Drosophila melanogaster: one gene and its partner. The protein of the gene in region 2 interacts with the protein of the main gene of each other region in a pairwise test. Each region holds a gene or a part of one and is shown on either strand. Other genes may lie near its edges.

The links.
Region 1: the proteins of Nha1 (region 2) and Ctu2 interact in a two-hybrid assay, tested with the Drosophila melanogaster proteins (one large-scale study listed by BioGRID).

The regions. Positions count from the first base shown.
Region 1 is NT_033779.5:19,490,875-19,494,837, reverse strand, and holds Ctu2 (cytosolic thiouridylase subunit 2), read left to right. Parts: upstream 1-1,584; 5' UTR 1,585-1,671; intron 1,672-1,874; exon of another isoform or gene 1,875-1,929; 5' UTR 1,930-1,944; coding exon 1,945-3,162; 3' UTR 3,163-3,191; downstream 3,192-3,963. Other genes in the region: swm (second mitotic wave missing), read right to left, coding at 1-281, 340-805, 881-939; CG18094 (uncharacterized protein), read right to left, coding at 3,209-3,963. UniProt on the Drosophila melanogaster protein: Plays a central role in 2-thiolation of mcm(5)S(2)U at tRNA wobble positions of tRNA(Lys), tRNA(Glu) and tRNA(Gln). May act by forming a heterodimer with NCS6/CTU1 that ligates sulfur from thiocarboxylated URM1 onto the uridine of tRNAs at wobble position.
Region 2 is NT_033779.5:6,867,232-6,872,334, forward strand, and holds the start of Nha1 (Na[+]/H[+] hydrogen antiporter 1), read right to left. Parts: upstream 3,159-5,103; 5' UTR 2,903-3,158; intron 1-2,902.

The DNA of each region.
Region 1 (3,963 bases), about 13 Mb from region 2:
TCGTTCACCCGTCGGTCGCGTGACCTGGACCGCCGAAAAGCGCGCTCGTTAGAACGCGATCGAGAGCGGGAACGGGATCGCAGGGAAGCACGTCGTCGTCGACTGTCGCGCGGCTGGTTTTCCTTGTCAGCATAACCCGCCGCAAGACCTGCTCCGCCGGGACCACCTCCTCCACTTCCGCTGACGCCGCTGCTTCTGCCCGGTGGGCTGGCACTGCGCACATGATGGTGTTGGTAGTTGGAGGCTGACTGTTGATTGTGGGAGTCTTTGGTTTTATGCTGCTGGATAAATTAGAAATATAAACAAAACAGCTAAGGCGAAGCTACCACTAAAACTCACATCAAAGGCTGGCTTGGCATCTGTAGGGACGTGCATGGCAATGCCGGCTTCCTGGCTGATAAAAGCTAGGGCCTCAGCTTCCCTGGCATCTTGACTGGCCTGCTCTAACTTGACCTGATTGCTATCGGGTTTTATCACATTATCTTTAGGAGGCGGTGGAGGGGAATCGGCAACCAAAACCGCTTCGATGTCGTCCTGGGGCCCATCAATGACCAGGGCCAGTTCCTGGTCGACTGTTAGCTCAGCGGTGGATGCACTAGAGGCTGTTATTAGAGGGGCAGCAGGGACCGTCAGGTATTCCTCGCTGGCAATGGCATCGAAGAGGCGTTCAACGAAACGTGTCGTCTCCTCGGACAGGAAAACATCGAGCTGTTCGATCATGATCCGCTTAAGGTCTTTATCCGATTTGTCCTTCTTGAGCAGCGCGATGACATATCGCGCCAAGGCCGAGGAGTCCGCATCGCAGCTGTAAGTGGGAGGGTGGTATGTGACGGGGTTAGTTCCAGGGATAGCGATGAAATAGCGGCTTTCAAGAACTTACAGTGGCTCCAGGACCACGCTCAGCCAATCCTTGAGCTTGTCCGAATTCTCCAGAATCATGCTAAGGCGGGTTGTTTCTACTGCTTGCTGCTGCTGCTGTTGTTTTTGTTTTTTGGTTGGGGGCTTCTTGCGTTGGTCTGCGCTAATCTGGGTGGGGGGTTAATCGTGCTCGGGGGGCAAACACGCCCGAAAAATTATTTTTAAGATGACCTCTGTCGCTCTGGCGACTGTGCTCCTGCGATTTGGGTGAACTTCTTACTTCCTGTTACCGCCGTTGCTTCTGCTTTTAATCTCTGAAATTGGATTTCGGCGTTTATTTTACTTTTTGTCGTACTTTTTCCTTCCTTCTTTTAATTGCTTCTTCTTCCCATCTGCTATCGTCAATAAGAAAGTTTCTCGATTTTGCTACCCGATACTTTTTGCTTGCGTACAAGCACGACGCACACACACAGCGCGCACAAACACACAGGCACGCAGAACTCACATACATACGTATTAGCAGCACCCAGTTTTTTGCGCCCAAATTTCTTGGGTTTTTCGAGCCCATTTTTCAACACAAACTCCAAAGACACATACCTCAATGCTTAAATTTAACTTATTATTAAGATTTGTACAACAAATTGTGGTTTGAACAGCTATTTTTATATTTTTCACTGCACTTTTCCTGTTGCAAGGTTGCTTTTGACGAGTCTAGGCTGCGTAGTCGATATATTGCCAGGTATATCGATAGCCTTCGATAACGGAATGCCCTCGAAACAGTGTTGACAGCTATAGACTATACCGTAGCTAAAGGTAATATATGAGTTTAAAATATAAGTTAAAGGTTTACGCTTTTTTAAATTATATTGGATATATTATATTCGATATTATATTATAAGAAAGCGCTAGCTTGCCGTCTAATTTTGACACTAAATATAGATAATCTATATAGATAGATTATAGATAGAAGACATTTGTCTAGAATTCCGCTATTTTGTATCCATTCATTTCACAACGTATTCATCCCTGGTCATTTCGTTTATCTGCGAAATTCTTTTTGTTGTGGATTAGACGTAAATTATTGCCATGTGCAGCATTGGTGAAGATGATTTTGGAGACGAGGGTGCCGCCCACGCCATGGTAGTGGAATCCCTACCATTAGGAATCGTCCTCAGTCCAGGGAATTGCAGCAAATGCGATGTAAACTCCGGCGAGCTCTACAAACTCAACTTCCGAACTGCGGAGTGCCGGGAATGCTTTCTAGCGTATGCGAGGCACAAGTTTCGGGCAGCTCTGGGAGCCGCCAAGATTCTGCCCAGAAACGCCGAGGTGCTTCTTGTCCTGGACGGGTCCGCAGAGTCGCTCGTTCTGCTCGACATGTTGCACTTCGCGCAAACACAGAACACGTTTAAAAGACTCCATTGCAACGCACGTGTGGTCTACGTGGAGGAGCAGCAAGTGCAAGGTCGCGATCCTGTGGACTTGGAAGCTCTGCAGAGATTATCAACACAATACGCACCCTTCGATTTCTATGTGATTGAACTGGGCGCCTTGCCCAGCTCCTTGCAGCGGATCAAGGATTATAGTCCTTTCCTCAACGCAAACAATGAGCTTATCCACAAGCTTCAAAAACTGCGAAGTCTGACAGCTCGCCAGGATTACCTCCAGCAACAGCGCAAGAACCTCATCTGCTCCGTGGCTCAGTGTCTGCAATGTACTCACGTCTTTGAATCTAATATAAGTGTTGACTTAGCCACCCAGCTGCTGACTGCAATAGCGCTAGGTCGTGGCGGTAGTGCCGCCTTGGATGTGGCTCTCCTCGACGATCGGCTGTCTGGAGATGTTAAGCTGCTGCGACCTCTCAAGGACCTAACTGAGCAGGAGATTCAATTTTACATACATGCACAGCGTCTAAAGCCACATTTTCAAAAAGGCTCACGTTATGGGATGGAGCATGGTGAGACTGCCAGCTTACAGAACCTTACATCAGCCTTTGTGGCCAATCTGCAGCAAAACTTCGCCTCCACAGTATCCACAGTGTTCCGAACTGGCGACAAAATAGCTGTCAATTCCAATCCAGAGCAGTCCTCTTGTGTTCACTGTCGATCTACACTGGACTCCGAACTATCCGACACTCTGCTGGCTATTGAGTACTCCAGATCTGTTTCAGAGGCCGGCGTGAGCCTGTACAAAAGCGGACAAGATCTCGAGGGCTTGGCCAAGAAGCGATTGGAGAACAAGGACGGTTTGTGCCACGCATGCCGCGCCATACAGACCGAGTTGGATAGTGGTAACTTGTTGTAGCGCAAGAGGAAATATATATATTTTCTATTAAAACTATATTCTTTTACTACAACTTGGCTAGCTTGTTATTGACAAGAGGCTGCAGTGGCAGATGCCCATCGCAGGGCGGTATATTGGAGGCCAGTACGACCTTGTGGAAGTCGTAGACGATATAGCGATTGTATTGCTTGGACTTTCGATGAAGGTCGTCCACCGATCCCGACAAGATAATTGTTTGTGTACAAGCGCCTGGTTCTTTGGGATAGAGCTCATCACCAGGAAGAACTCCAAACATGCAGTCATCGCAGCGATAGTAGACGGGCTGCACCATTGTGCTTCCATTGCAGCTCCTTTGGCGGGAGAAGTTGAGAAGCTCCTGAAAGCTATAGAAGTTCATCAGACGAGCGATGTCATAGAGCAGCATGAACGGGAGCCAAATAATGGCTTTCTGTGAGCTCGACCAAGCCTCGATCGGACTCAACCAGTGGGCCGAAGCCACCTCGTGCGGTTCCAGAAGCAGCTTTATATTCCTGGTGTACTTATCTAACATGGTGATATAATAAACAGTGTCATATTTCCGATTGGCAGTGGCTGCTGTCCTCCAAATGGACCATTCCTGAAGAGACCAGATATTGGGAATGACTTTATAATGCCGAAAGAGTTCCAGAAACTGTGAGGCATCATTGTGAACCCGATGTTGCCATTCGAAGTGTTCGCTTGACTCGAGAAGCACGGTTCTAGGATGACCCGATTTAGAATCCCATTTTTGTATGTCGTCCTGTTCTGTGCAAATCAAGATGCCCACCTCTTCAAAGGTTTCCC
Region 2 (5,103 bases):
ACAGGCAACCAATGGTTGGGTGGATGGGCTTGGATGGAGAAGTAGTATCCGTATTAGTAGCAGCTACCTGTGACGTGATTCACTTTCAAATCTGGTCAGACGACAAACGCATTTCAGTGCTTCGTCTTTGGTTTTTCTTCATTTTTTTTTCTCTTGTAAATGGCACGACTGTTATCCCATAGCCATTGTGTTAATCTAATCGATTGACAGAGTTGAGCATTGTCTACGGAACTGCCCAGCAATAGATAATCAGCAGTGATAATAAGGTACGCGCATTCTTACACAATTAATCCCCAAAGCACTTGAGTGTGTGGAGCGTGTAAAATTTGAGAACAATTCACTTGAATCGAATTCAAATGGAGAGAATACACAGTCGGCCATTTCCACGGATTCTTATCAATCGGAGTCACATGTGACCAATGGCGAGGGAGATATGATGATATTGGACACTTGGCTAATCTCCACTGGGCTTTTTCCGGCTGCGATTAGCCGGTTGTAGGACTGTTAATTGACTTTAGCTGGGAAACATGGAATCATGTTTTTCAAGGTGCAAAGTTATTTAATTTTTTTGTGTATCTATAGTTGCTAACAGCTATTTAATTTTTTTGTGTATATATAGTTGCTAACAGCTTATATGGTTTTAGACACACTTTCACAGTTAAATTACTCCTCGTACTTAAGCAATCGCCAGAAATGAAATGGAATATTTCGAAAAATATCTATTAAAGGTTGTCTTCTGATAAAACCAATGATCACAATGATTCTTTATTGGGCGCCAATAAAACAGAGTTTATTACCATGAATCGGTTCCTGTGCGCTTAACTTCAGATTGACGTCAAAGGAGACGTCCTCCAACTCTCACTTAGCTCCAGTCCAATCGTTCAATTGATCAATTAAATGGGTTTTGCAAAGACATTCGATGCCATTGCTCGAAGAAGTTAAGGAAAATTCTTTAAATAGCGCTCGATTGAAGTTATCAAGTGCTAGATGGCATCGGTGGAATCTTTTATGGTCGACGGATTTCGTTGGAGCTTTCACAAAGTTATCTACGGCTGTATATTTGCATTAATTTATTGCAAATATAAAAGACTTTTGCGATGATGATTGATCGCAGCATGTAGAACATTCATATAATATAATATATTCGCGGCTTATCTGACAATCGACGGCGATAGCAAAGGGCGCTATGGCGAAAAAGATTTAGCCATAAAGATCAAATCGAACGAAAGGCTAAATAAAAATCCACCGAACACTCAAGTTGGCGGCTCGTAAAAATCGAAGGGGCCCATGCTAGTTGTGGTTTGATAAGGGGGACGGTGGGGTAGCGGTAAACCCTTATCGGTGCGCCGGACTACTTAATTGGCTTGATATTGCCCTACTACCCCAACTACCGTGTGGCCAAGTGTGGATTGTGATTGATTTCATACCGAATGCTAAATACGCAGACGGGATCGGGTCCCCCTCCTTAAAATTGGTTTCACGATTGCTATCGGATCGCGAAATATGTGTGTGATTACTCCACTTACGAGTGTTTCATTAACAGACCCACTCCACTCGAATCGAATCTCAATCAGCCATGAATGTTGTTTCTATATAATCGGCTACAGATTCGATTTCGATTTCGCTTTCAATTTCCCCCGAGCCCCCTTCCTTCGAGCCATCGAGCCCTCTTTGGATTTCAGTGTGTCTCAGGTGCTTTCCACTGGGGGTTTATCTGCCTCAATTGCGCGAATTGTTTATTAAAACATTATCAATATCTGTAATCCACAGTCGGATCCACTTCACGCTGTTCTACACTCGTTTCGTCTGGCTTTGGCCTTTGTCATTAGTTCCATTGACAACTGCTAATTGTGGTAAGTGTTTATTGGCCCAATTTTCGAGGCATTCGATAAGATTTGGCCCGTGTATCACTCTTCTCGTTTAATTATGCATGTATTTCCTTTATCATGGTGAGACTTCCTCTGCTTATCTAAACCGCACAAATAATGTACTTAAATGATGGGTATACTCGAGATACTGTTTCGGATAGAGGTTACACATTTTGGTAATATTTACTGCTATCATTAAGGTGTTTTTCGGCACGTTTTGATCTGGATCATTGTTTATTCTATTGCAGTGCACAGAAAAGAATTAAAGTTGAGTATTAATTCATATTAATATATAAGTTATATTACTTCGTATCAATGCAACTTCAAAAGACGGAAACTAAATTTGTATCTTTAAGTAACTGAAGTATCTAAAGTAGAGCAATATACGTGCTATATATCTGTGTATGACATGACAGAATCAAAGTTGAAACACTCATTATATGTAGATCTAATTATTCGAAACGTAGATGCAGAAACCTTCTCTTTGATTGTGATACAATGTATATAATATATAATACAATGCACAACCGTTATACGCACTGCGCATTTCCTTGGCAATGTGATTGATTTTATTGATACTGATACGGAATTAATGCGTTCTGAAACTCGTTCACAGCTTACATTAAAGGGTTAACCCGCTTGAGATGTTCGCTTAATAGCATTTAAATGATGATACAATTGGTAGCACTGCAAATTGATTTTCCTCATGCAATAAAATATTCTTATGCATTCATTTCGAGTTCATTAAGAAATCATTCACATTTCATTAATTTCGGTCAATATGCAAATGGTCAGCAAAACGTAAATAAAGTGAAATATATGAGCAAAATTAATAACAGCTCAAAGTCGCAAGCGGGTGTTTTAATCATAAACGAATGTAATTTGCATTTGCACTGTTTTGGCTGCTTTGGCATTTCGATTGGAGTCGCCATAACAAAAAAAAAAACACGTACAGCCAGAAATGTGAAATATCTTAAGTATTTACTTTATTACAGCCACTGAACTCGAAGATGGGAATGAGTGGCAAAACCTACTTTGTATTCACACGGCGGCCAGGAGGAAATTAGGCAACTTTCGTTGATGTTTCAAATCTGAAAGCACTTTGTCACTTTTCGTTGTCTTCGTGTTTTAATCTTCTTCACTTTTCTCGGAATGGCGCCAGCACTCGACTAATTAGAACTCAGTTAGTCGTTCTGCGTTGACTTTTACTTTCATATTCACAAAACGCGGACCACGGAGGCGGAAAACTGTGGCGAAGTCGAACCGCAACCTGGCCAAAAGCACGACTAAGTCGCTGCAAATTCCTGCCAGCGTTTTATAGGCACACACACACACTCACGTCTGTAAACGCGATCGGAAGAATTGAAGCGAATCGAATTGAAACCGCTCTCTTGCTCACCCATTCATTCACGCACTCACTCACTCACTTGCTCACCTACTCACTCTCCGATTTGCGAAGAATTGCCCGAAGTTATGTGGCTGTAAGTCTTATCTTCTTGTATGATCCACCCACCTGAAAATAAAGGTGGCCCAAAGCCCGCTCTTCTGGTAGAAGAGGCGTAAATCAAGGCGATCAAGCAGCCAATGGTGTAAGCCAACTATATAGCTTCATGTGGCTACTGCACTGCCGCGAGTATATCACGAACTTAAGGCCCTCTCGAGTTGTGCGACCCATAAAATGGTCAACAAAATAATTTCCTCAACGCTTCCCAGGCCATAAATTCAGTTGAGAATTTACCATTGGCAAATGCAATGTCATAACTGGTACTCTTGGCGGTGTGAAAATACATTGTTTATATGGCCCTATATGTGACACGAAAAAGTATGCAATAAAAAATATGATTGATGACCCGAGATAACGATTGGTTTTTCTTTAATTAGGCAGTCTTGAGAAGCTCAATCAATCGGAAATCGAAAGCGCTTGATGGCTTTATGGCCACGTTAATCAATTCGTATTGATATGGTCGCGACGTTTCGTTTGCCCATCGTTTGATGAACTTTAGAGGGGATTTGGTAATTGAGTCACATTGAATGCATGGCGGTGGAAAAGTCAATTAGTTAATTGGCGGTCTAATTGACTTGACTTTACAGTGCTCGTCATGCGTATCAATAATACAAATAGCTTCTAAATATCTAAATACTTGCCCAAATATTATATTAGATTAATCATTTGGCGTAAACAAACACCGATAAAGATGTCACTTTGTTTATTTACCATTTGCATAAAACCCAAATGTATGATTTTCGTTTATTTACCTTACCGAATTTCAACTGACAAATCGCGATACACACAAAACTGATAAACGTGTTCTCTCGCAGACAATGAATAGTATTCCTTTTGATATCTGCGCCATAAACCGTGCTTATGTGTCCATAAACTCCTCAAAGATTTCCACTGCGATTCACCTGGGTAAACTAACTTTGATTAGTGCAATATAAGTACATGATATGCGGTATTTGGGGAAAACAATGTTATAATGAAATCAAATAGTGCAAATAGTGCTTACAATTGATAATTTGGTTAAAATGATTATTGTTATTTTTAGCCAGAGATTAATTTGATATTTCTGACATTGCCCGCATAAAGGTATGCCGGCATAGCATTAAAATTGATTTCACTGCTGCCATTTAATATTTATTGTAAATTTGTTTATCTAATTTCCGGCAATATATTTACCTACTTTCTATCTATGTGCATATTGTTTTCGCAACTCATACCAATTTGCAGCCAAAACGGCAAATGGCCGAATCGAATTCAATTCAAACAATCCGCAAAATTGCAGAAATGTATGAACTTTTCGGATGAAACTTCTCTAATTATTTGAGTGGCAAACGGCCAATGTAAAATGCGTCATGACATCGAGGTGGCTGATGAAAATGCGGCTGGGTCAGGGATTCGTGCGGGGTCTCCATAAATTAACTTTGCCAAAATTACAAACATTTTCCCATTTCCCCCATTAAAACCCAAATCACGGTGCCACACACCAGCGCATACATACATACATACATACATACCCGTGTTGGCTGGACGGGAGTGTAGCAATTTCAATTAAAGCTAATTACAACCAATATCGACTGCCAACAATGTCAAGCATCAAATGCGACGAAGCCACCCAAAAGGAGCCAGCTCGATTGGATGGCTGGCTGCTGGCTGGCTGGCTGGCTGGCTGACTGGTTGGTTGGATGGAAGCCCGGCTAGTGTCATGTCTGGGTCGTGCACTGCGAGAAATTGCGG